Oryctolagus cuniculus: one gene and its partners. Each later gene encodes a partner of the first gene's protein in a complex. Links are inferred from orthologs where the notes say so. Each region holds a gene or a part of one and is shown in the gene's direction. Other genes may lie near its edges.

Region 1 (3,500 bases):
TTCAGGCCAGGCCTTTAACCCTCTGCGCCACAGCACCGGCCCCAAGATTTATTATTTTCAAAGTCATAATTAGAGGGAGAGTTAGAGAGGGAGGTCTTCCATCCACTAGTTCACTCCCCAGAAGCCACTATGGCCAGGCCTGGGTCAGGCCAAAGCTCAGAACCAGGAGCTTTAGCCAGGTTTCCCACGTGGGTGGCAGGAACCCAGACACTTAGGCCACATTCGGTTGTCTTCACAGGTGCATTAGCAGGGAGCTGGATCAGAAGTGGAGCAGCTGGGGCTAGACCCAGTGCCCCTATGGGATGCTGGTGTTGCAGGTGGTGGCTTTACCCGCTATGTCACAATGCTGGCCTTGGGCAGGTGGGGAGGTTTTTTTTTTGTTTTTTATGTTTTGGTGGTACATCAGCTCCTTTGAATAACTTATAAACTAATGATTCTTTTTCTGAAAAAAAGAAAAAAGCTTCCAAACCTGTTTGGGTTTGACTTTTGGGTCCATATTCTGGTGGTGGTTCATCCTGTGAATTGCAGTGCCAGACACACCAGCTGAAGGACCTGCAGTGAGACTCTTAGTGCCCCCCACGTCTCCATTTCCCTTATGGTAATATTAGCTCAGAGGACGGAATTCTGGATGTCCCACTAAGAGGAAGGGAGAAGCACTGTATACTTCTCGAGCGGAAAGACAGCAGCGGATGGGTCAAGGAGTCCGGTCATTTTGGGGTCACAGCTTTAGGACTGTGGTTGTTGCACTCAGGAAGACCTCCGTGTGGATGGCCGTGGCTGTGAAGACTACCGATGTGTCGAAGTGGAAACCGATGTGGTGTCCAACACCAGTGGGTCTGCCAGGGTCAAGCTGGTGAGTATTGGGGCCACAGTTCATTCCCAGGTGGAGACATGGGTAGGCCCCAGGGAGCCAGTGCAGAGGAGCCCTTGCGGCTTTTGGAATGCAGCTTGCTCCTGGGGACATCCAAGGTCCAAGCCCAGCTCAGGGAGGGGGGTCCATTCAGATCTGAAACACCCTTCCCCTCCTCGGAAGTCACCTGCCAAGTCCTTCAGGGCTACATGTCCCGAAGAGGAGGCTGGTGGTTGGGTGCCTGGCTGCCTGCCTCCAGTGAGGACCCTTCTCGTCTGTGTCTGCAGGGTCATACCGACATCTTGGTGGGAGTGAAAGCGGAAATGGGGACGCCAAAGCTGGAGAAGCCAGATGAGGGCTACGTGGAGTTCTTTGTTGACTGGTCAGTACTAATGCAGTGCTTTCAGAGGGGGTGATTTAACGGGTACAGATGGAGAATGGGAACCCCTGGTTTCCTGTGGCGCATGCTCTTGGTTTGCATTTAGTTGTCGCTCGGCCATCTGGCAGGTATTCACTTGCCTCGTCTTACCTGCCGGGTTCTCAAGAGCCTTGCCCTTGTTTTAATCATCTAGTGACTCCAGCTTCCCACCAGTGCAGACCTTGGGAAGTTGTGGTGATGGCTCAAGTAATGAGGTTCCTGCCACCCACATGGGAGACCTGGATTGCATTCCTGGCTCCCAGCTTCACCCTTGGCCTAGCCCAGGCTCTTGTAGGCATTTGAAGAATCAACTAGCTAATGGGATAGTGTGCTTCTCTGTCTCTTTCTCTCTGCCTCTTCAATAAATCTTTTTAAAAGTTATTTCTCTCCCTCTTGTTATCTCCCCCTCTAGGGGTTGGGAGTGTTTTTGGATTGCTGGCCTGGTCCCTTCTTCTGTCTATAACCATGTTTCTAGAAGCAGGTGGTTGTAGCAGGCCTTCCTGAAGCAGGTAAGCTCCTGCTCCATGTGGGTGTTTGGTGTTGATGCTCCGCTGGGCGTCCCCAGGGCCACTTCCGTGTTTGGAGACTGGCTGCCAGGGCTTAGCACGTAGTTGCACTCCTGGCTACAATTTATGATAGCAATGAAAATAGGAGCAGTCTTCAGAATGTGTGTGGAAAATACATATTATGACACACTGCATGGATTTTAGAATTTTTTAAAAAGATTTGTTTATTTGAAAGAGTTACAGAGAGGGAGAGACAGAGATCTTCTATCTATTGGTTCACTCTCCAAGAGGTTGCAACAGCAGGGGTTGGGCCAGGCCAAAGCCAGGAGCCTGGAACTCCATCCAGGTGTCCCACGTGGGTGGTGGGGGCCCAAGCATTTTGCCCATCTTGCACTGCTTTCTTAAGAGCATTAGTAGGGAGCTGGGTAGGAAGTGGAGCAGCAGAGACTTGAACCAGCACTCACATGGGCTGCCAGTGTTACAGGTGGCAGCTTAACCCACTGTGCCACAGCGTCAGCCCCTCACAATGGTTTTTTTTTTTGTTTTTTTTTTTTTTTTTTTTTTGACAGGCAGAGTGGACAGTGAGAGAGAGAGACAGAGAGAAAGGTCTTCCTTTGCCGTTGGTTCACCCTCCAATGGCCGCCGCGGCCGGCGTGCTGCGGCCGGCGTGCTGCGGCCGGCGCACCGCACCGATCCGATGGCAGGAGCCAGGAGCCAGGTGCTTTTCCTGGTCTCCCATGGGGTGCAGGGCCCAAGCACCTGGGCCATCCTCCACTGCACTCCCGGGCCACAGCAGAGGGCTGGCCTGGAAGAGGGGCAACCGGGACAGAATCCGGCGCCCCGACCGGGACTAGAACCCGGTGTGCCAGCGCCGCTAGGCGGAGGATTAGCCTAGTGAGCCGCGGCGCCGGCCCCTCACAATGTTTTAATACCATTTTCCTATAGCCTTTTCGAAGTGCCCTTGTACACCAGCTACTTGTGACATTTGTGTCTAGGAAACCCCGTGAGACTGAGCACCCCAGGTTTTTGCTGGGTGCTGGTCACATAGACACCCTCTGTTTAATGCATCCCAAGATTCCGGATCCTAGGAGAGCAGGTGTTTAGCATGACCCGTACTGCATGGTCTCGCACAGTGCACTGCCCCATCAGTTTGCTGTTGACTGGGAACTCTGAGAGCCAAGTTCCCAGATGCCAGCCAAGGGCCAGCCCACAGACAGGCTCTTCTCAATCTCCCCTTGCCACCGTGTCCGCGCTTTGTACAGTGCTAACCCATGTTCAGGTGGTGAGTTACACAAAAGGTGGTCCTCACAGCACTCCTGCTGTCATCTCGAGAGAGATGACAAATGGAGTTCAGAGAGTAAGAGACTTCCATAATATCACATAGCTAAAAATGCCAGCTCAGGTCTGTCCATTCTCATGCAGCCTACAGAGGCCAGCTCTCAGGAACATTGCACTTGGATGTCAGGAGCTGTCCACGGTCACCTTTCTGCTCAGTTATCCTTCCAGCCGGTTGCTACCATTTCAACTGGCTTCTGGTTCCTCCTAGCTGCTCTCACTAGTCTGAATTGCAGATGGCCCATTCTCTAGGTTCCTGTGGATGCTCCTGGAGGAAGCAGACTGCCTCTCCTGGCCAGGATCTGCCCGATGGAGAGCAGTAAATGGTTCTGAGGAGCAGGCAGCCCGGGTGAGGAACTGTGATTTGCTTTCTGCTTCCTCCCTCTCATTG
Region 2 (4,188 bases), on another chromosome or scaffold:
ATAGAAAATGGCAATTTCATTAATTATGCCTGACTCAAGAAGTCGGAAGATTGGAAGCCCTGAAGTACCTGTACGAGGTGTTTGGTTTCTCACGTGGGCATCAAAAGTGTGCTCTTGGTAAGGTAGCTGTAGGAATTTAACTCAGTTACTGATTTTCCCAGGCATGCAGAGATAATATGTGAATGCGATGTGTATTTTTGCAGGGTGAAAAGTCTAGGGGCAAATGTGTGTCACAGTATTACTATATTCATTTACTTATCAGGCATTGTTTCTTTTTTTCTTTTTTTTTGACAGGGAGAGTGGACAGTGAGAGAGAGAGACAGAGAGAAAGGTCTTCCTTTTGCCATTGGTTCACCCTCCAATGGCCGCCGCTGCCGGCGCACCGCGCTGATCCGAAGCCAAGAGCCAGGTGCCAGGTGCTTCTCCTGGTCTCCCATGGGGTGCAGGGCCCAAGCACTTGGGCCATCCTCCACTGCACTCCCTGGCCACAGCAGAGAGCTGGACTGGAAGAGGAGCAGCTGGGACAGAATCCGGCGCCCGGACCGGGACTAGAACCTGGAGTGCCGGCGCCGCAGGCGGAGGATTAGCCTAGTGAGCCTCGGCGCCGGCCCAGGCATTGTTTCATACCAGACCTTGGGCTACAATCAGAACTAGAGTGGTCGGCATGGAAGAGCACACAAACAGGCAAGACCAATACGTTTTCTTCTCTAGTTACAATCAAGGTGTTTTTTTTTTTTATGATTTATTTTATTTATTTAAAAGGCAGAGTTACAGAGCGACAGAGCTCTTCCACCTCCTGGTTCACTCCCCAAATGGCCTCCAAGGCAGGGGCTGAGCCAGACCCAAGCCAGGAGCCTGGAGCTTCATCCAGATCTCCCAGGCGGATGCAGGAACCCGAGGATTTGGACCATCCTCTGCTGCTTTCCCAGGTGAGCAGGGAGCTGGATGGGAAGTGGAGCAGCCGGCACTCGAACCACAGCAGCCTTACCCACTAGGCCACAACGCAGGTCCCCAAGAAGTTTTACTTTGAAGAAAAAGTACTTTTCCTGGTAAAGGTCAGCACACTTCTGAAGGTAGCGTCCGAAAAGAGCCCCACAAAGTAGTTTCCAAAGTCCCTCTGTTCAGCTCCCGTAATTCTCCAGGGATCCTATGAGAAGTATCTTGTAGTCCAGGGGTGCGACCGGAAGTGCAGGCTTCTCCAGTGGACTCAAGCTGGGCGTGGCTCACTGCCGACCCGCGGGCAGACCACGAGGCAGGTGCTCGGGTCCTGACACAATCACAGCCGCCTTGGGCGAGGAGCACCCGCCTGCTGGCAGAGACCCGGCTTCGCAGACTTGGGTGCAAGGCCAAACGACAGCCACGGCCGGAAGCGGAAATCCGGCCGTGGGCTGGCTGCTCCACTCGGAGACGGAAGCGGAAGTTGGGTACCGGAAGCAGTGTTTAGTGACGCCTACTATGGCTGAATCTGCGCCTGTCACAGCTGAGTCTCTCGCGGGCAGCGGGGCGCGGGCGGCGTGCACGGTTCTGAACCAGGTGGTGCTCCCAGGAGAGGAGCTGCTGCTGCCGGAACAGGAGGACGCAGACGGCGCTGGCGGGGCCGGGGAGCGGCCGTTACGCCTGAATGCCGGGGTGTGCTCGCGCGTGCGCGTGGTGTGCGGCCCGGGCTTGCGGCGCTCTGGCGATCGTCTTCTGGTCACCAAGTGCGGCCTCCTCCGCCACAAGGAGCCCAGCAGTGGCAGTGGCGGTGGCGTTTACTGGGTGGACTCGCAACAGAAGCGGGTGAGCTGGGATCCCGGGGGGGACGGGGAGGTGGGGGCGCGGCCGTGAGCATGGAAGAAGCCGCCGTGGGGCCTTGCAGTGTTAAGGCGGAGGGTGGGGGCGCTGCCGTGAGCGTGGAAGAGGCCGCCGAGGGGTCTTCCTGTGTTAGGGCGGGGGGTGGGGGCGCGGCCGTGAGCGTGGAAGAGGCCGCCGTGGGGCCTTGCAGTGTTAAGGCGGGGGGTGGGGGCGCGGCTGTGAGCGTGGAAGGGGCCGCCGAGGGGCCTTGTGTTAAGTCAGGGGTGGGGGGCGCGGCCGTGGTGCCTTGCTGCGTTAAGGCTGATTTGGAACCACCGTAGTGCAGGGCCCACCTCAGCAGCCACTGTATGTAGGACCATGAACAGTAGGGATGCAGCCTGACAGAGGCCTCTGGAGACTGAATCATGGTTATTGTCATTAAAATCCCAGTGGTTTTGGAACAGCAGGCTTGACCTTTGGCGTCCCAGCGAGCAGAACCAGGCTCAATGAGTGGCAGTTACAGGGAGTTAAATCGCTCTTAGGTGAGAACTTTCCTGGTAGGAAAAAGTGTCTAACAATGGAATGTGCTTTCCTGGTTCTAAGGATTCCAGTGCCACTGGACTTGGATGCAGCAGAAGCTAGGGACTTACTGGTAAATACTGGCTCAAATGAATAGAAGCTGTAGGGGCCACTTGTGGTGCAGCAGGTTAACGCCCTGGTCTGAAGCACCGGCATCCCTTATGGGCGCCCATTCGAGTCCCGGCTGCTCCTCTTCTGATCCAGCTCTTTGCTATGGCCTGGGAAAGCAGTAGAAGATGGCCCAAGTCATTGGGCCCCTGCACCTACATGGGAGACCTGGAGGAAGCTCCAGGCTCCTGGTTTTGGATCGGCGCAGCTCTGGCTGCTGTGGCCAACTGGGGAGTGACCCATCGGATGGAAGACCTCTCTCCCCCTTTCCCCCTCTTCCTCTATCCTCCTCTCTCCTTTCTGTGTAACTCTGATTCTCAAATAAAAATAAATAAATCTTTAAAAAAATGAATAGAAGCTGTAAATCTGAGAGTTTATACTGTGATCTCTCTTTTACTGAAAATGGCATATAATCAAACTTGTATGGGTTAACTTGTAAACTTGCATTTCGGAATATTTAAAATTATCTCTTTAATGACAACAACTAAGGCTAACTTGCTGGAGATATCTTGCAATGATAGCTTGCCATTTATGGCTGTTCTCTCAATTCTGTTTTGTAGTATGTTCCAGTGAAAGGAGACCACGTGATTGGCATAGTGACGGCTAAGTCTGGAGATATATTCAAAGTTGACGTTGGAGGGAGTGAGCCAGCTTCTTTGTCTTACTTGGCATTTGAAGGTGCAACGAAAAGAAACAGACCTAATGTGCAGGTAATGATGGCGCCTTTGACCCCTAGGACGTTCATTTATCCAGCAGCTGCCTGACCTGTCTCCAGAGCCTGGCCATTCTCCCAGCTGTGCGGGATCATCTCTGAGTGTTCGGGCTCTCAGAGTTCCTTCAGAGTCTGCAGGAGCAGAGGCACACACTTGGTTTATATTTGTGACGTTGGTTCCTGGGAGGCTTCACCTTGGAGGGGAGAGGTTCTGTTTTCTCCGCTGTTACCTGTTAGGTCCGTATCCACTGGCCAAGGTCAGGCACAGCCTTAGAGAGGGGGAAGGACAGGTGGTGCAGATCAGCAGCAGCTGTCTGTTCGCCCTGCAGAGGAGTCATCTTCTTACCTAAAGTTTGCAATTGGCCTTCTCAGGTCGCATAGCCACACCCTTCCTGTCTACCCAAGCCAGGAACTTGGTGGCTTCTTTGCCCTTTCACCTCTAGTCACTAGTTGCTTAATCCTATTTTGAGCCTACCTCCATCCCTTTGTCTCCACTTTGCAAGTTCAGGCCTTAAACCCCCGCCCCCACAACTGAAGTCAGTGAGTGATCCTATTAACTCCTTTACCTCCACCCTTTTACCCCATCCATAGAGGCTTTGGGGAGCTGATATCCCCTTTCTCAGACTAAAAGGAAGATTCTTCAAAGCCTGCAGAATTCCTCAGCGTTACCTCCTTCACAGCGTGCGTGAATCACACCATACTCTACTGAACTCAGTTTCCTGCCCGTGTATCTTGCTTGGGTCATTCAGGTTGTTCCCTGTCGGGATTGCACAGGCTCATCCTTTGGGATCTGGGGTGAACAGGACCATCTTTGTGAAGGCATTGCCAGTCATCACTTTTTTATCTTTGCTTTAGCACTTAACTGAATTTGGCCTCGAATGAAATCTAATCTGTGCATCCCAGCTGCACTCCAAGACCAAATGCTTCTGAAAGGCAGACAGTGTTTTGTTCCTCTCTAGGAACGTGGTCACTGACAAAAAGTAGATATTTAATGTTTCCTTGAGTGAACAGAACAG
Region 3 (3,155 bases), on another chromosome or scaffold:
AATGGAGAGCGGAGTGGGGACTCTTAACCCGGGCAGTGCAGGATAGGACATGGACAATCCCAAGTGGCGGCTTTACCACTGCACCAAACACCCACCTCAGATAATTCGATTTTGCAGGGTCTGGTGTGGTTCTGTGGCATTTCATTCCAGTTCTCTTGAAGCAGCAAAGTTCCTTATCTTTTCCTGCCGCCTCTGATCTCTTTCTGTACTCAGAGGTGTTGCTCCTGCTGCTCTGCATGGCCTGACAATGGGCAAGTGCTTTCTCCCGTGGGCGAAGATGCCTCCCCCCCTCGTTCTGGGTGGCAGCTGGCTCCCGTCAAGACTTGTTCCGTCTGCTCTGAGAGTCCTTCACCTGCTAGGAACCTTCAGGACAGTTTTTCTCGAAGATAATTAACCTTTGGTGAACTTTTTTTTTTTGTAGGAAGGAAGATGTTCGAGCCACTGAAAAAGACAAGGTTGTTGGTTGGTTCGTTTTTCTCTTCCATGAATGAAGCAATTGAAATCCTTTACAATTACTCACATTTATGTTAATTCATCTGACCTGAGTGGGGCTAGGTTTGCCCTTAAAGCCAAGTATTTATTCATTGCTGTCCCCTCAGATGTAGTCCTGGATCTTTCAGAACCAACTGCAGTACCTCTTATATCTTTTCTTTTTCTAAAGATTTATTTTATTTATTTGAAAGAGTTACAGAGAGAGTTAGAGACAGAGAAAGATCTTCCATCCACTGGTTCACTCCTGAGATGGCTGCAGTGGCTGGAGCTGCGCTGATCCAGAGCCAGGAGCCTCTTCCAGGTCTCCCACGCGGGTACAGGGGCCCAAGTAGTTGGGCCATCCTCTACTGCTTTCCCAGCCCACAGCAGAGAGCTGGATCGGAAATGGAGCAGCTGGGTCTTGAACCAGCGCCCACATGGGATGCCAGCGCTTCAGGCCAGGGCGTTAACGTGCTGCGCCACAGTGCTTGCCCCGCCCTTTTTTTTTTTTTTTTTTTTTTTTTTTGTAAGATAAATATTTACTTGAAAGACAGCTACATAGAGAGCTGTCTTCCATCCCTGGTTCACTCCCCAAGCTGAAGCCAGAAGCCAGAAACTCCAGGTCTCCCATGTGGGTGGCAGGGGCCCACATACTTGAGCCATCCTCTGCTGTTCTCCCAGGCACATTAGCGGGACCTGAACTAGAAGTGGAGCAGCAGGGACTCTAATTGGCGCTCAAATGGGATACAGATATGTGTTGCAGGTGGTGGCTTAACTCACTGCACCTCAAAGCCAGCCCCTATAGTACCTTTTTATAGTAAATTCAGTAGTCTGATTCCTGATTGGATTACTGAATTCAAAATCTGATTTGTATGATGTTGACTGACAGGCTATGATGCCTTCTCCCCGCTGGGGTTAGATAGGCGACAAGCTCTCCCAGAGGGGCTAAGGATTCTGTGTGGCTCTGATCCAGAGCTTCACTTAACACCACTATGCTTTCTTCACAGGTTGAAATATACAAGAGTTTCCGTCCAGGGGACATTGTCTTGGCCAAAGTGGTATCCTTTATTCCCAGCAGACTTCTGGTTCTTCGTGAAGAAGACATGGAACTAGAGAAACAACCCAAGTGGCTAAGGGGGGAAGACTTGTAACCTCTCATTTTCCTTCACCGCTGTTGTGTGACTAGATCTCTCTAGGTGACGCCCAGTCCAACTACCTGCTGACCACAGCTGAAAATGAGCTGGGAGTGGTGGTGGCCCATAGTGAGTCAGGTGAGTTGGTCTACACTTCTACATTCTGATTCTTCCTTGGCTGGTATGGTTTGGGATCAATGCATTAATTTTCTGACTTTCCCTAGTTTGTCATTGTTTGGGAAGCAATATAAGTGTAGGTACCATGATGCACTGCATAACAGCATTTTGGTCAGTGACAGACTGCATCTGGGCTGGTGGTCGCATGAGATTATCACCTAGTGATGTTGCAGCCGTACATCCTGTGATGTTCACACAACTATGAAATCGCATGCCCCCATCAGGTGATGCGTGGCTGTGCTTACTGCAGAGATGAGATTCTGCTAGCCCTAAGGAGGTGGGACTCACTTCATAAATCATGAGATAAACACGGTTTTCCCGTATGAGGGGAGGTTTGCTGGTAGCCTGGTAATACTTCAGCTTCGTACCCATCTGAAAGAAAAGGGCTTCAAGCAAACATCTGAGGTCCCAGCTGCAAACCCAGCTTTTCCCTTCCAGGTGTCCAGATGGTTCCCATCAGCTGGTGTGAGATGCAGTGCCCTAAGACCCACACTAAGGAGTTCCGGAAAGTGGCCCGCGTGCAGCCTGAATTCTTGCAGACCTAGGAGGCCATGGTGACCCCCCGGAGGGCTCAGCTGTTTCTGAGAGCATAGGTATGAAAACAGCACCCGGATGCATTGTCTGTCGTCAAAGGCCAGGGTCAGCCAGCACTGCCCGAGAAGACTCGACCAGGAAACTCATTGTGCAGATGAAGCCTTCCTGTGAGTGGATTTCCCTCCCTCGAGTGATGACATTCCTCCTCCGGGGGCTCAGTAAACTGCGAGCTGTGGCCTGTGGGAAATAGCCTGTTCCTCCCGACAGTGTATCTTTATAAATGTGTATATTTTGCTGTGATCAAGAAAACATTTTTTACTAAAAGGATTTTATTACAGGCTGCTGTTGTCTTGAGCTGGGAAAAACCCCTGAATGTGTCATAACGTTTAGAGCAAGGCTTTGCCGATGGCGCCCACTGATCGACGGGTGTCATTTGCTTAGACGAAGCCTGAGCACCAGCCTCTTTTGCATTGTTTTGAGTTCTGTTTTAAATGCTTCTGCTAACTGCTCCAGGCTCTAGGTACACCCCTCACTTCAGTACATTACGGCACAGTGAAAACTGTAGCACGGATGGGCTCATCCAGGTAGCACGTGAATAGGTCTGCAGAGTATTTGGTGAAAATAGGGTTTCTGATGTACTGGGTACTCCAGGACTGGGTGACCCATCGGAATTGAAAAGACGGACAGAGCTTTCACGTGAGGTGGCCGGGAAAGGAATGACAGAATTTGGAGTAAAGTGAAGATATTCGAGGCAGACAGCAGCCCTAGCAAAATGCAGAAGCCGAAATGCAGGGCCCAGCTCGAGTGAGGAAGGGATGGAGTCAAGGATGGAGGGGTTGC
Region 4 (4,216 bases), on another chromosome or scaffold:
CCGGGAGGCACAGCTCCTTTAAGCAGGAGTGGCAGATAAGACCACACGGGACAGGCATCGCTCCACCGGCAGGGACTCCTGTGACGTGACAGGCAGTGCCCGGCACGCGGGCGGAGGCTGCTGTGGGCACAGACGCAGGTGCAGGCCTTGGTTGTGTGTGCGCATTTGCCCTCTCCACCACACACACCTGCCTCGCGGGGTGTGGCCTGCTTCGCTTCACTTCTCTTTCTCTTTTTTCAGAGAAGTCAGCTGGCTCAGCAGTGTCCGGCGTGCTGCCTGTGGGTGGGGGTGCGGGCTGGGTTGACCCAGCAGCCGTGAGGCGGCTGTTCTGACCGACTGGGGCCACTGGGAACAGTGTGAAGTGGGGCGCTTGGGGCTGGCGCCAGGGCACAATGGGTTAAGCCATCACCTTCTATTCTGGCATCTCATGTGGGTGCAGGTTCAAGTCCCGGCCGCTCCACTTCCGATCCAGCCCCCTGCTAATGCTCCTGGGAAAGCAGCAGGGGATGGCCCAAGTGCTCGGGCCCCTGCACCTGCATGGGAGACCTGTGGGGGGAGTTCCTGGCTCCTAGTTTCTGGCCACTTGGGGAGTGAACCATCAGATGGGAGATCTTTCGCTGTCTCTCCCTGTGGCTTTGCCCTTCAAATAAATCTTTTTTCCCTAAACTTGGAACACTGCTTTAGAAATTGCTTGGCTCCTTAAACACTGTCTTTTTAAAAGCATTTATTTATTTGAAAGGCAGAGTTAGAGAGAGAGAGAGAGACAGAGAGACAGTGAGACAGAGAGGTCTTCCATCCACTGGTTCACTCCTCAAATGGCTGCAAGGGCCAGAACTGGGCCAGGCCGAAGCCAGGAGCTTCCTCCAGGTCTCCCACGAGGGTGCAGGGGCCCCAGCACTTGGGCCATCTTCCACTGCTTTCCCAGGCGCATCAGCAGGGAGCTGGATGGGAAGTGGAGCAGCTGGGCGCCCAATGGGAAATCAGCGCTGCAGGCAGCGGCTTACCCCCACTGCGTCCCAGCGCCAGTCCCAATAAATCTTTTGAAAAAAAGAAAGTATGGCTATGCTTTCTGTTGAAATCGTGTCCTCCTGGGCGCTGTCATACAAAAATCAGATTTTAGCGGCTTAGAGCTGGACGGAAACTCAGAGGCCCATTCCTCAATTACGTCTAACGCTGGTAAACAATAAGCAGGATGGCAGTACCAGACAGCTTTGATAAAAAGCCACAAACAATAGCTTGTGGAATGCCATCACGCCACAGGTGCACCCTTGCCAGTAATAAACGTGGAAACTCCGCATTCCTCCCCTTCGGGTTAACATAACGGTTGCCAGTAGTCAACATGGCTGCCACACCGTGCGCTCCCATTGGCGGCTGCCCTGAGGCCCCGCCCCAGACCGCCCCTCTCGGAGTTGCCGGGCTGAATTCCGCGGCTCCGGGCCGAGCTGCGCCTGCGCAGGTTATTGGCGCCAAGATGGCGATGGAGATGCGCCTTCCGGTGGCGAGGAAGCTTCCCAGCGAGAGTCTGGGGCGTGATACCAAGAAGCACCTGGTGGTGCCGGGGGACACGATCACCACGGACACGGGCTTCATGCGGTACGGGGGGCCCCGGGGTGCAGGGGGCGGCCGCAGGGCTCTGCACGTGATCTGCGGGCCCGACCGGGGCCCAGGGCAGCCCCTCGGCGTCGTCTGCGAGACGAGTCCCTGACGCCGCCTCGCCTGCACTCTGGCGGCCCCGACTCTGGGGGTCTGAAGCGCCGATCTCTGGGCGTTCCTTGCTGGGGGCGGGAGGAAGGGGACTCTACGGGTCCGGCCGTGTCCGGGGGCGGGGGCGGGAGGAGGGGGACTCTGCGGGTCCCGGCGGTGTCCGGGGGCGGGGGCGGGGGGCGGTAAGTCGGGGTCTCTGCGGGTCTCGGCCGTGTCCGGGGGCGGTAAATCGGGGTCTCTGCGGGTCCCGGCCGTGTCCGGGGGCGGTAAATCGGGGTCTCTGCGGGTCCCGGCCGTGTCCGGGGGCGGTAAATCGGGGTCTCTGCGGGTCCCGGCGGTGTCTGGGGGCGGGGGCGGGGGGCGGTAAGTCGGGGTCTCTGCGGGTCCCGGCGGTGTCTGGGGGCGGGGGCGGGAGGAAGGGGACTCCGCGGGTCCCGGCGGTGTGCGGGGGCGGGGGCGGTAAGTCGGGGACCCTGCGGTTCCCAGCCGGGGGCGGACGGAGGGCAGACTTGGCTTCCCTCCTCCTCCCTGAGCCCCCCACCCAGCTTGGGCCCGGGGTAGGGGTCGTTCCTGTGTGGGCTTAGGAAGACTCAAGGTTGCATGAACTACCTTGCATGAATACACGCTGTGCCGCAGGGCAGTGCAGGGCCTTGTAGTTGGGGGACAAGGGGGGCTCCCCGCCTGCCAGTCACCTTATCAGAGGTCCGGTTCCTGATCTGTAAGAATTTCTGACGGGAGTTACTGAAGGGTCGGATGGGAAAGATACAAGACTCACCGTTAGATCGCCGGCAGAGATAAGCACTGGCAGTGTTTCAGCCTCTTGGTTTTTTGTAGGAATGCACGTTTGCCGGGTGTACATCATCTTCAGCATCAATATTTGTTTATTTTTATTTATTTGACAGGCAGAGTGGACAGTGAGAGAGACAGAAAGGTCTTCGTCTGTTGGTTCACCCCCCCAATGGCCGCCATGGGCCTTGCGCTGTGCTGATCCGATGGCAGGAGCCAGGTGCTTCTCCTGGTCTCCCATGGGGTGCAGGGCCGAAGCACTTGGGCCATCCTCCACTGCACTCCCGGGCCACAGCAGAGAGCTGGACAGGAAGAGGAGTGACTGGGACTCGAACCCAGTGCCCATATGGGATGCCAGTGCCACAGGTGGAGGATTAACCAAGTGAGCCGCGGCGCCGGCCCCTGCTTATTTATTTTTGAGAGAGACAGAGTGTTGTTTCACTTCTCAACTGCCTGCAACCCTCTGGCTGGAGCCAGGAGCCAGGAGCGCAACGTGGGTCTCCCACGTGGGTGGCAGAGAGCCAGTCGCTTGAGTTGTCACTGCCGCTTCCCCGGGTCTGTGTTCGCAGGAAGCCGGAGCCAGCAGTCAGACCCAGGCACCAGATGTGGGAGGCCGGCTTCTTAGCTACAGGCTGAACACTTGCACGCCCACCACCACTCCCCTAACTTCTCCCGGGGCTCCCGGGCAGGTGCAGGGGCCCAAGCACTGGGCCCTCCTCTGCTGCTCTCCCAGGCCATAGCAGGGAGCTGGACGGGAAGTGGAGCAGCCAGGACTTGAACTGGCACCCACATGGGATGCCGGCGCTGCAGGCGGAGGCCCAACCTGCTGGCCCCACCCCAAGTTTGAGGTTGTTGGAATCTCCGAAATGTTAAAATTCATTCCTGTGTTCGTACTTTCGCCATATATTTGTAGTCCGTGTGGTCTGGGTGTAGCAGTGAACAAAATGAATTCTGTCCTGGCGGAGTTGGCGTCTGGGGAGACACAGATAGTGAGGAATATGTTGGCCGGCGCCGCGGCTCACTAGGCTAATCCTCCACCTGCAGCGCCGGCACACCGGGTTCTAGTCCCGGTCGGGGCGCCGGATTCTGTCCCGGTTGCCCCTCTTCCAGGCCAGCTGTCTGCTGTGGCCAGGGAGTGCAGTGGAGGATGGCCCAAGTGCTTGGGCCCTGCACCCCATGGGAGACCAGGAAAAGCACCTGGCTCCTGCCATCGGATCAGCGCGGTGCGCCGGCCGTGGTGGCCATTGGGGGGTGAACCAACAGCAAAGGAAGACCTTTCTCTCTCTCACTGTCCACTCTGCCTGTCAAAAAAAAGAAAAGAAAAAGAAAAAGGAATACGTTAGCACAACAGCAGACAAGGAGTGGGGTCAGTGTTGCGGCACCAGGGGTTAGGCCATGGCTTGAGGCCCCAGCAGCCCGTATCCCAGCCCAGGTTAGAGTCCCGGCTGCTCCACTTCTGATCCAGCTCTCTGCTGTGGCCTGGGAGGGCAGCAGAAGATGGCCCAAGGGCTTGGGCCCTGCACACACGTGGGAGACCTGGTGGAGCTCAGGGCTCCTGGCCTGGCTTGACCCAGCCCCAGCCCTTGCAGCCATGTGGGGAGTGAGCCAGGGATGGAAGATATGTCTGTCTGTCTCCCTGTCACTCTGCCTTTGAAATAAATAAATAAATCTTAAACAGCAACAAATAAGGCATAAATGGAGAGCGTGCTTGGGGATACGGCGGCAG
Region 5 (3,382 bases), on another chromosome or scaffold:
AGGGCTGGAGGAAGCCCCTGGCTACCACTCACCCACTTTGGTCGCTTAGGCTGAAGACTGGCACTTCCTGGTTACTCTGAGTCGTGAAGCTGGGGCTGCAGCGGTGGCAGGGACCCAGGGGACCGCAGGCTCCTCAGTATTTTCACCTCACCCAGTCAAGACAGGGAGGAGGACAGCAGAGGTCAGGCCGACACTCCAGCCCAGTGAGGACGGGACAGTGAGCTCAGGCCACCGAGGCAAGGGGCTGCGGCTGCTCTTCTAGCAGACAGCTTCGTCCAGCAGCAGGGTAGAGCGTGGGGGACCCAGAGTGGTCAGTGGCAGAGGACCAGCCCTCACGGCCGCGGCCACAGCCACTACGGAGAAGACGCTGCAAGCGCTGCACCTGGACCCTGGACCAGCCTGTCTGCATCGCCACGCCGTCCAGGGCAGCTGCGCTTTGTCCCTTCCCCTTAAGCCTGGGCCATGCGGTACGGCAGAGGCAACGCGGACTTCTGGGGCTGAGTCATGAAGTCGCCACACACGCGGCGCTGCCTTGGGAGCCGCCACCAAGCCGAGGGAAAGCCCAGGCTGCTTGGGGAAGCCAGGCAGGTGTGCGCCGACGGCCTGCAGCTAACAGCAGCGGCCACGGGGAGGAAGCATTCAAGACGGCGCCAGCCACCACTGAGCGCCAACTGTGGACTGTGCGAAGCTACCCAGGGACTTCCGCTCTGTGACAGCGTGCAGGTCCCGCAGCAAGAACCAAGCATGCACCAACCGCCTTCTGGAAGGGTGCGGGCATCTGCACCCTCAAAGGGGACGCGGGCACTGTGGGAGCTGGGCGTACGGGAGGCAAGAGCCCGGGAGCACGGGACCGGCGCCCGCGTCTCCTCTCCTCTCCGGCGCGCCTCTTTCCACCTGCAGACTGCGGTGGGATGCGGCCCAGCGGAGGCAGGTGCTGGCCGCACAGGTCCGGGCCCCTTCCCACGGACACGGTCAGTTCCCAGGCTCGGTGGGAAAGCAGCAGAGCTCGCGCTGCCCTGCTTGCGGCCTTCGCCCCGAAGCCCCTGCCCTCGGGGTGCGCTCTCCGCGGCCACCACGCAGCCCTGCAGGACCACGCGAAGGGATTCCGCGCTGTTTTGTGCAACACAAAAAGGTGCGTACGAGGGAACAGGCTCAGCGCCCCCAGAGCCGCGGGGTGACAAGCGCCTGAGGGAGTCACAACTCCGCGGATACGACCGTATCGTACGAGGTCGCGCCCAGCTTTTAAACTCAACAAAAGTTAGAACGGCAAGGAACCGAGAGAACGGAGCCCCGCCAGCTCCGGCGGCCGCGGCAGGCCGCCCGGGACCGCGGCGCCGGAAGTGACGCCACACCGCGCGGAGCCGCGGGCCTCAGGGACCGGAAGTGCGGCCTGGCCGCCGGAAGTGCCGGGGCTGATGGGAGGTGTAGTTCTCCGGCCGGCCGAGCGCGGAGCGGGCGGCCGCGAGCATGGCGGGCCTGGAGCTCTTGTCGGACCAGGGCTACCGGGTGGACGGACGGCGCGCCGGGGAGCTGCGCAAGATCCAGGCGCGGATGGGGGTGTTCGCGCAGGCCGACGGCTCGGCCTACATCGAGCAGGGCAACACCAAGGCGCTGGCGGTGGTGTACGGGCCGCACGAGGCGAGTGAGCGGGCGGCGGCGGCGGCGCGCCCTCGGAGCGAACGCCCACCGGCCGCCGTGCGGCGCTTCGCGTGCCGGGCGCTCTCGCTCCCTTACCTCGACGGCCCGGCCCGCGGCAGTCCACACGCGCTGCCTGTCGGCGCGAGCAGTGGGCGGACTGGGGTGGGGAGAGCCGGGCACCCGTCCGCCGTGAGGCTTTCCCAGGGTTTGGGGTTTCACTCCCCGCGCAGTGGGGAGGCGGGGGTTGAGGTGCAGCTCCCACAGAACCCGCGTAGCCCCGGGGAGTGGGTTAGGGACGCGCGCCCGAGGCGACTGGCGGCGCTGGGCGAGCAGCCGCTGCGGACTAGGGCGGGGGCCGGGGGCCTGGGCCTGGCTCACGAGGCGCCCCTCTTCCAGATCCGGGGCTCCCGCTCGCGCGCGCTGCCCGACCGGGCCCTGGTGAACTGCCAGTACAGCTCGGCGACGTTCAGCACAGCCGAGCGCAAGCGCCGGCCGCACGGGGACCGCAAGTCCTGTGAGCTGGGCCTGCAGCTGCGCCAGACCTTCGAGGCGGCCATCCTCACCCAGCTGCACCCACGCTCCCAGATCGACATCTACGTGCAGGTGAGCTGGCCGCAGCCCCGCACGCGGAGGGAGGGGCTGCGGGGCGTGGGGCGGCCGCCTGACGCCCCTCGGGGGCCCTGCAGGTGCTGCAGGCGGACGGGGGCACCTACGCGGCCTGTGTGAACGCGGCCACGCTGGCAGTGCTGGACGCCGGGATACCCATGCGGGACTTCGTGTGCGCCTGCTCGGCCGGCTTTGTGGACGGCACAGCGCTGACGGACCTCAGCCACGTGGAGGAGGCGTCGGGCAGCCCCCAGCTGGCTCTGGCCCTGCTGCCGGCCTCCGGCCAGATCGCGCTGCTGGAGATGGACGCTCGCCTGCACGAAGACCACCTGGAGCAGGTGCTGGAGGCGGCTGCGCAGGCTGCGCGCGGCGTGCACACCCTGCTGGACCGCGTCGTGCGGCAGCACGTGCGCGAGGCCTCCATCCTGCTGGGGGACTGAACAGCGGCCGCCGGGCCCGTGCGGACCTCTCCCACGCGTGACCTGCTCCGGAGTCGCACCTGGAGGGCCGGTGCGGTGCGCGCAGGCGGCGGGAGGCGGCTGTGGGCGCTGTGGGCTGCACTGAGCAGCCCCTTCCCCCAGGAGACCCTGGGCCGTTCTGTCCCTTACCTTGAGCTCTAAAAGTACCACAACCTCGTGCACTTGCCTGCATTATTCTCCCCTGCTCGGCCCCTGCCTCCCCGCCCACCACTGCGCCCCCGTCACCCGCCCGAGCCCTGCAGCAGGGAACCAGGAGCTGCGTCTCCCGGACCACCTCGGGGACCCCCTGGCCTGGACAGGGGCAGCGCGCTCCCTACCGGCGACCTCGGTGCAGGGCACCCACGGCGAGGATTCCCCGTCCCGGCCTCCCTCTCCAAGCCCTTCATCCCCGTCGGCTGCTCGCTGCCGCCCTGCGCTTCACCTCCGTCTCCTGCCAGCCGTCCAGCTGATGCTTCCTCGCCGCCCCTGACCGGTCTGGCCCGTTCGTGCACGGTCTGGCCGAACTGGAAGCTGCCTCCCTTGCCTGGGCCCACCCCCAGTCAGCTGAGCCCGAGCCCCGCGGCCTTCCGGCGAGTCGCCGCTCAGAGCATGCGCAGTGGGCCTCCTGCGACCCTTCTGGCCTGGGCATGCGCAGGGGCCTCCCCGCCTTCTGGTCTGGG
Region 6 (2,870 bases), on another chromosome or scaffold:
GCTCTTGGCTACCCGAGGGTGTGTAAAACATGCTGACTCCAGCTCAGTCCAGCCCTAAACCCTTGAACTCAGTGTTTGTGGAGACGGGGGTGAGATGGAGAGAGAGGCTCTAATAATTCAGTGGTCCGAGGGGTTACAAAGCAAAGGTGCGCCTGGAGAACCTCCATTGTTTTTTTCTTTTAAAGATTGATTGATTTGAAGGGCAGAGTTACAGAAAAGCAGAGAGAGAGAGGTCTTCCATCCACTGGTTCACTACCCAAAGGGCTGCAGTGGCCGGAGCTGTGCTGATCCGAAGCCAGGAGCTTCCTCCAGGTCTCCCACGCGTGTGCAGGGGCCCAAGCACTTGGGCCATCTTCCACTGCTTTCCCAGGCCATAGCAGAGAGCTGGATTGGAGCAGCTGGTCTCAAACTGGTGCTCACATCGGATGCCAGCCCTGCAGGCGGCGGCTCTGGCTCATGTCCCTCCCCTCCCTCTGAAGCTCTTCATGTGGGGTCAGGGTATGAGGCTGGAGGGCAGTCTCTGGTACAGAAGATGTTTAAGGTGCAGCTATTGCCTCCTACTCTAGTGTCTGCCCATCACTCCCACTTGACCCAAAGACACTGGCCGGTCTCTGAGTCCAGTTTCCCCAAGTCTAAAATGGCAGAGTTTGGAAGGTGAAGGTACTGCTTGCCTGTGCCAGCCCCAACGGATGTCCTGTCCTCTGGATACAGCGGCTGGCCCCAGAGCCCAGGTCACGGTGCTGCTGACAGTGGAGGGAGAAGGAAAAGCAGGTGCATGCTGGGGTGAGGGGCGGTTCTCAGGGTGGGAAGGGGAGGCAGAAAGGGGGTGTTGATGTCCGTGTTAATGATACAAAGAGACTTACATAAAGCCAGTGCTGGAGAGAGATTCCATCCATCATATAGGCCTTCGTGCCAGCCAGGGGCTTGGGAGTGAGCAAGGCCAACTCCCCGGTGGGGACATATAAAATAGTCCCACAGATTAGTGCAAAACTAAGATAACTACAGCCTGCATAAGTGAGAAGACTAAGCGCTCGGGTAGGACCTGGCCTGGGAGACAGTCAACCGGCCCGTCCAGCCCTGGGCAACCTTGCTGCGGCTTCAAAGCCTTGGCGCCGCAGCCGTTCTCCCTCCACGGCGCCAGGGGGCAGTGCAGCCGCGACTGCCTGCGGCTCTCCCGACAGCCCCCGCGCGAGCGCGCGTCTTCAAGCGGGCGGAAGAGCCGGAGCGCGCGGTAGGACGACGGGCGGAAGCGGTGTGCTCGCCAGGTGCCGCCATGCCCGGGGACCACCGCCGCATCCGCGGACCAGACGAGTCGCAGCCGCCGCAGCTGTACGCCGCCGACGAGGAAGAGGAGCCCGCCGCCCGAGACCCGACGCGGCTGCGGCCGGTGTACGCGCGCGCCGGGCTGCTGAGCCAGGCCAAGGGCTCGGCCTACCTGGAGGCGGGAGGCACCAAGGTGCTGTGCGCCGTGTCGGGCCCACGCCAGGTCGAGGGCAGCGAGCGAGGGAGCGGCCCTGCCGGCGCCGGCGGCGAGGCCCCGGCCGCGCTGCGCGGCCGCCTGGTCTGCGATTTCCGCCGTGCGCCTTTCTCGGGCCGCCGGCGCCGGGCGCCTCCGGGCGGCGGCGAGGAGCGCGAGCTGGCCCTGGCGTTGCAGGAGGCGCTGGAGCCGGCCGTGCGCCTGAGCCGCTACCCGCGCGCGCAGCTCGAGGTGTCGGCGCTGCTGCTGGAGGACGGCGGCTCGGCGCTGGCCGCCGCCCTCACGGCCGCCGCCCTCGCCCTGGCCGACGCGGGCGTCGAGATGTACGACCTGGTGGTGGGCTGCGGCCTGAGCCGCGCGCAGGGGCCCACGCCCGCCTGGCTGCTGGACCCGACGCGGCTGGAGGAGGAGCGCGCCGCCGCCGGCCTCACCGTGGCCCTCATGCCGGTGCTCAACCAGGTGGCCGGGCTGCTGGGCAGCGGGGAGGGCGACGCGACCGAGACTTGGGCCGAAGCCGTGCGGCTGGGCCTCGAGGGCTGCCAGCGACTCTACCCGGTGCTGCAGCAGTGCCTGGTGCGGGCCGCCCGCCGCAGGGGCGCCGCCCTGCCCTGAGCCGGCGGGCGAAGTGGAGCCGCGAGCGGACAGAGCGTGCGGAGATGGACAGTTGCGTTGGAACGGCTGTCGACAGACGAACGTTTGACGATCTTTCCAGTCCCCAGCCAGAAGCCAGCGCAGGAAGCCGCGGGCTGCTTGCTTACTCCCGAGCTGGGAAGGACTTGAGCCGGCCTGGTCCGGAGCGCGGGATCTGTGTGACTCCGGAGACGATGGACAGGGCGCTGCGCCTTCTCACAGCGGGACTGAAACAACAAAACCGTTTTTTTTTGTATTCGAAATACGCGTGTCGTGGTTCTTAGTACAGGATTTTCAGAGAGAGCAAGGCTCCCTGGCGGTGAGGCTCAGGACAGCACTGCCCCGCCTGTGTCGTGTCCCTTGGACCGGTGAGCCGACCAGACGGGCCAGAATCCTGAAGCAGCTGCGGGTTTAGAAGTGGGCCGTGTGCTTGGCAGGAAGACACGCCGCCGCCTCCGGTGCCCGTGAGGGCGGCTGCTGCGCCGGGAGGAGAGTTGGACGGCCCGGGAGCACTCGGGGGTCCCGGAGCTCATGGCTGTGCCGCGAGAGGCCCCAGCGCAGGGTTCCCGAGAGCTGGAAAGGGTTTTGCTGGGGGTGGAAGCCGGATCCCAGCCTTCCGTGGCCAGGGCCACAGCAGTCCAGTCAAAGGCCTGCACTGCCGCTGAGTGGGCCCCTGGGCTGCCTTCATCTGCCCGTTGTCCAGCCTGAGCCCCTGGGGAGAGGGCGGGTGAACTGGCTTCTGGGAAAGCAGAGGAGCATGGCT

What was found.
Region 2: EXOSC7 (region 1) and EXOSC3 share a complex: the UniProt entries of both Homo sapiens proteins name them as parts of the RNA exosome core complex. The link is inferred for Oryctolagus cuniculus from reciprocal best matches to the Homo sapiens genes EXOSC7 and EXOSC3.
Region 3: EXOSC7 (region 1) and EXOSC1 share a complex: the UniProt entries of both Homo sapiens proteins name them as parts of the RNA exosome core complex. The link is inferred for Oryctolagus cuniculus from reciprocal best matches to the Homo sapiens genes EXOSC7 and EXOSC1.
Region 4: EXOSC7 (region 1) and EXOSC2 share a complex: the UniProt entries of both Homo sapiens proteins name them as parts of the RNA exosome core complex. The link is inferred for Oryctolagus cuniculus from reciprocal best matches to the Homo sapiens genes EXOSC7 and EXOSC2.
Region 5: EXOSC7 (region 1) and EXOSC4 share a complex: the UniProt entries of both Homo sapiens proteins name them as parts of the RNA exosome core complex. The link is inferred for Oryctolagus cuniculus from reciprocal best matches to the Homo sapiens genes EXOSC7 and EXOSC4.
Region 6: EXOSC7 (region 1) and EXOSC6 share a complex: the UniProt entries of both Homo sapiens proteins name them as parts of the RNA exosome core complex. The link is inferred for Oryctolagus cuniculus from reciprocal best matches to the Homo sapiens genes EXOSC7 and EXOSC6.

Annotation. Positions count from the first base shown.
Region 1 is NC_091441.1:102,789,516-102,793,015, forward strand, and holds part of EXOSC7 (exosome complex component RRP42), read left to right. Parts: intron 1-751; coding exon 752-853; intron 854-1,137; coding exon 1,138-1,232; intron 1,233-1,680; exon of another isoform or gene 1,681-1,777; intron 1,778-1,783; exon of another isoform or gene 1,784-3,458; intron 3,459-3,500. UniProt on the Homo sapiens protein: Non-catalytic component of the RNA exosome complex which has 3'->5' exoribonuclease activity and participates in a multitude of cellular RNA processing and degradation events.
Region 2 is NC_091432.1:200,611,408-200,615,595, reverse strand, and holds the start of EXOSC3 (exosome complex component RRP40), read left to right. Parts: upstream 1-1,388; 5' UTR 1,389-1,455; coding exon 1,456-1,779; intron 1,780-3,020; coding exon 3,021-3,170; intron 3,171-4,188. UniProt on the Homo sapiens protein: Non-catalytic component of the RNA exosome complex which has 3'->5' exoribonuclease activity and participates in a multitude of cellular RNA processing and degradation events.
Region 3 is NC_091446.1:32,404,429-32,407,583, forward strand, and holds the end of EXOSC1 (exosome complex component CSL4), read left to right. Parts: intron 1-421; coding exon 422-455; intron 456-1,478; coding exon 1,479-1,529; intron 1,530-1,657; coding exon 1,658-1,742; intron 1,743-2,219; coding exon 2,220-2,326; 3' UTR 2,327-2,655; downstream 2,656-3,155. UniProt on the Homo sapiens protein: Non-catalytic component of the RNA exosome complex which has 3'->5' exoribonuclease activity and participates in a multitude of cellular RNA processing and degradation events.
Region 4 is NC_091432.1:233,342,206-233,346,421, forward strand, and holds the start of EXOSC2 (exosome complex component RRP4), read left to right. Parts: upstream 1-1,416; 5' UTR 1,417-1,471; coding exon 1,472-1,593; intron 1,594-4,216. UniProt on the Homo sapiens protein: Non-catalytic component of the RNA exosome complex which has 3'->5' exoribonuclease activity and participates in a multitude of cellular RNA processing and degradation events.
Region 5 is NC_091437.1:167,909,073-167,912,454, forward strand, and holds EXOSC4 (exosome complex component RRP41), read left to right. Parts: upstream 1-1,392; 5' UTR 1,393-1,467; coding exon 1,468-1,638; intron 1,639-2,034; coding exon 2,035-2,241; intron 2,242-2,324; coding exon 2,325-2,684; 3' UTR 2,685-2,882; downstream 2,883-3,382. Other genes in the region: GPAA1 (glycosylphosphatidylinositol anchor attachment 1 protein), read left to right, coding at 3,312-3,382. UniProt on the Homo sapiens protein: Non-catalytic component of the RNA exosome complex which has 3'->5' exoribonuclease activity and participates in a multitude of cellular RNA processing and degradation events.
Region 6 is NC_091449.1:56,939,994-56,942,863, forward strand, and holds EXOSC6 (exosome complex component MTR3), read left to right. Parts: upstream 1-1,199; 5' UTR 1,200-1,273; coding exon 1,274-2,089; 3' UTR 2,090-2,370; downstream 2,371-2,870. UniProt on the Homo sapiens protein: Non-catalytic component of the RNA exosome complex which has 3'->5' exoribonuclease activity and participates in a multitude of cellular RNA processing and degradation events.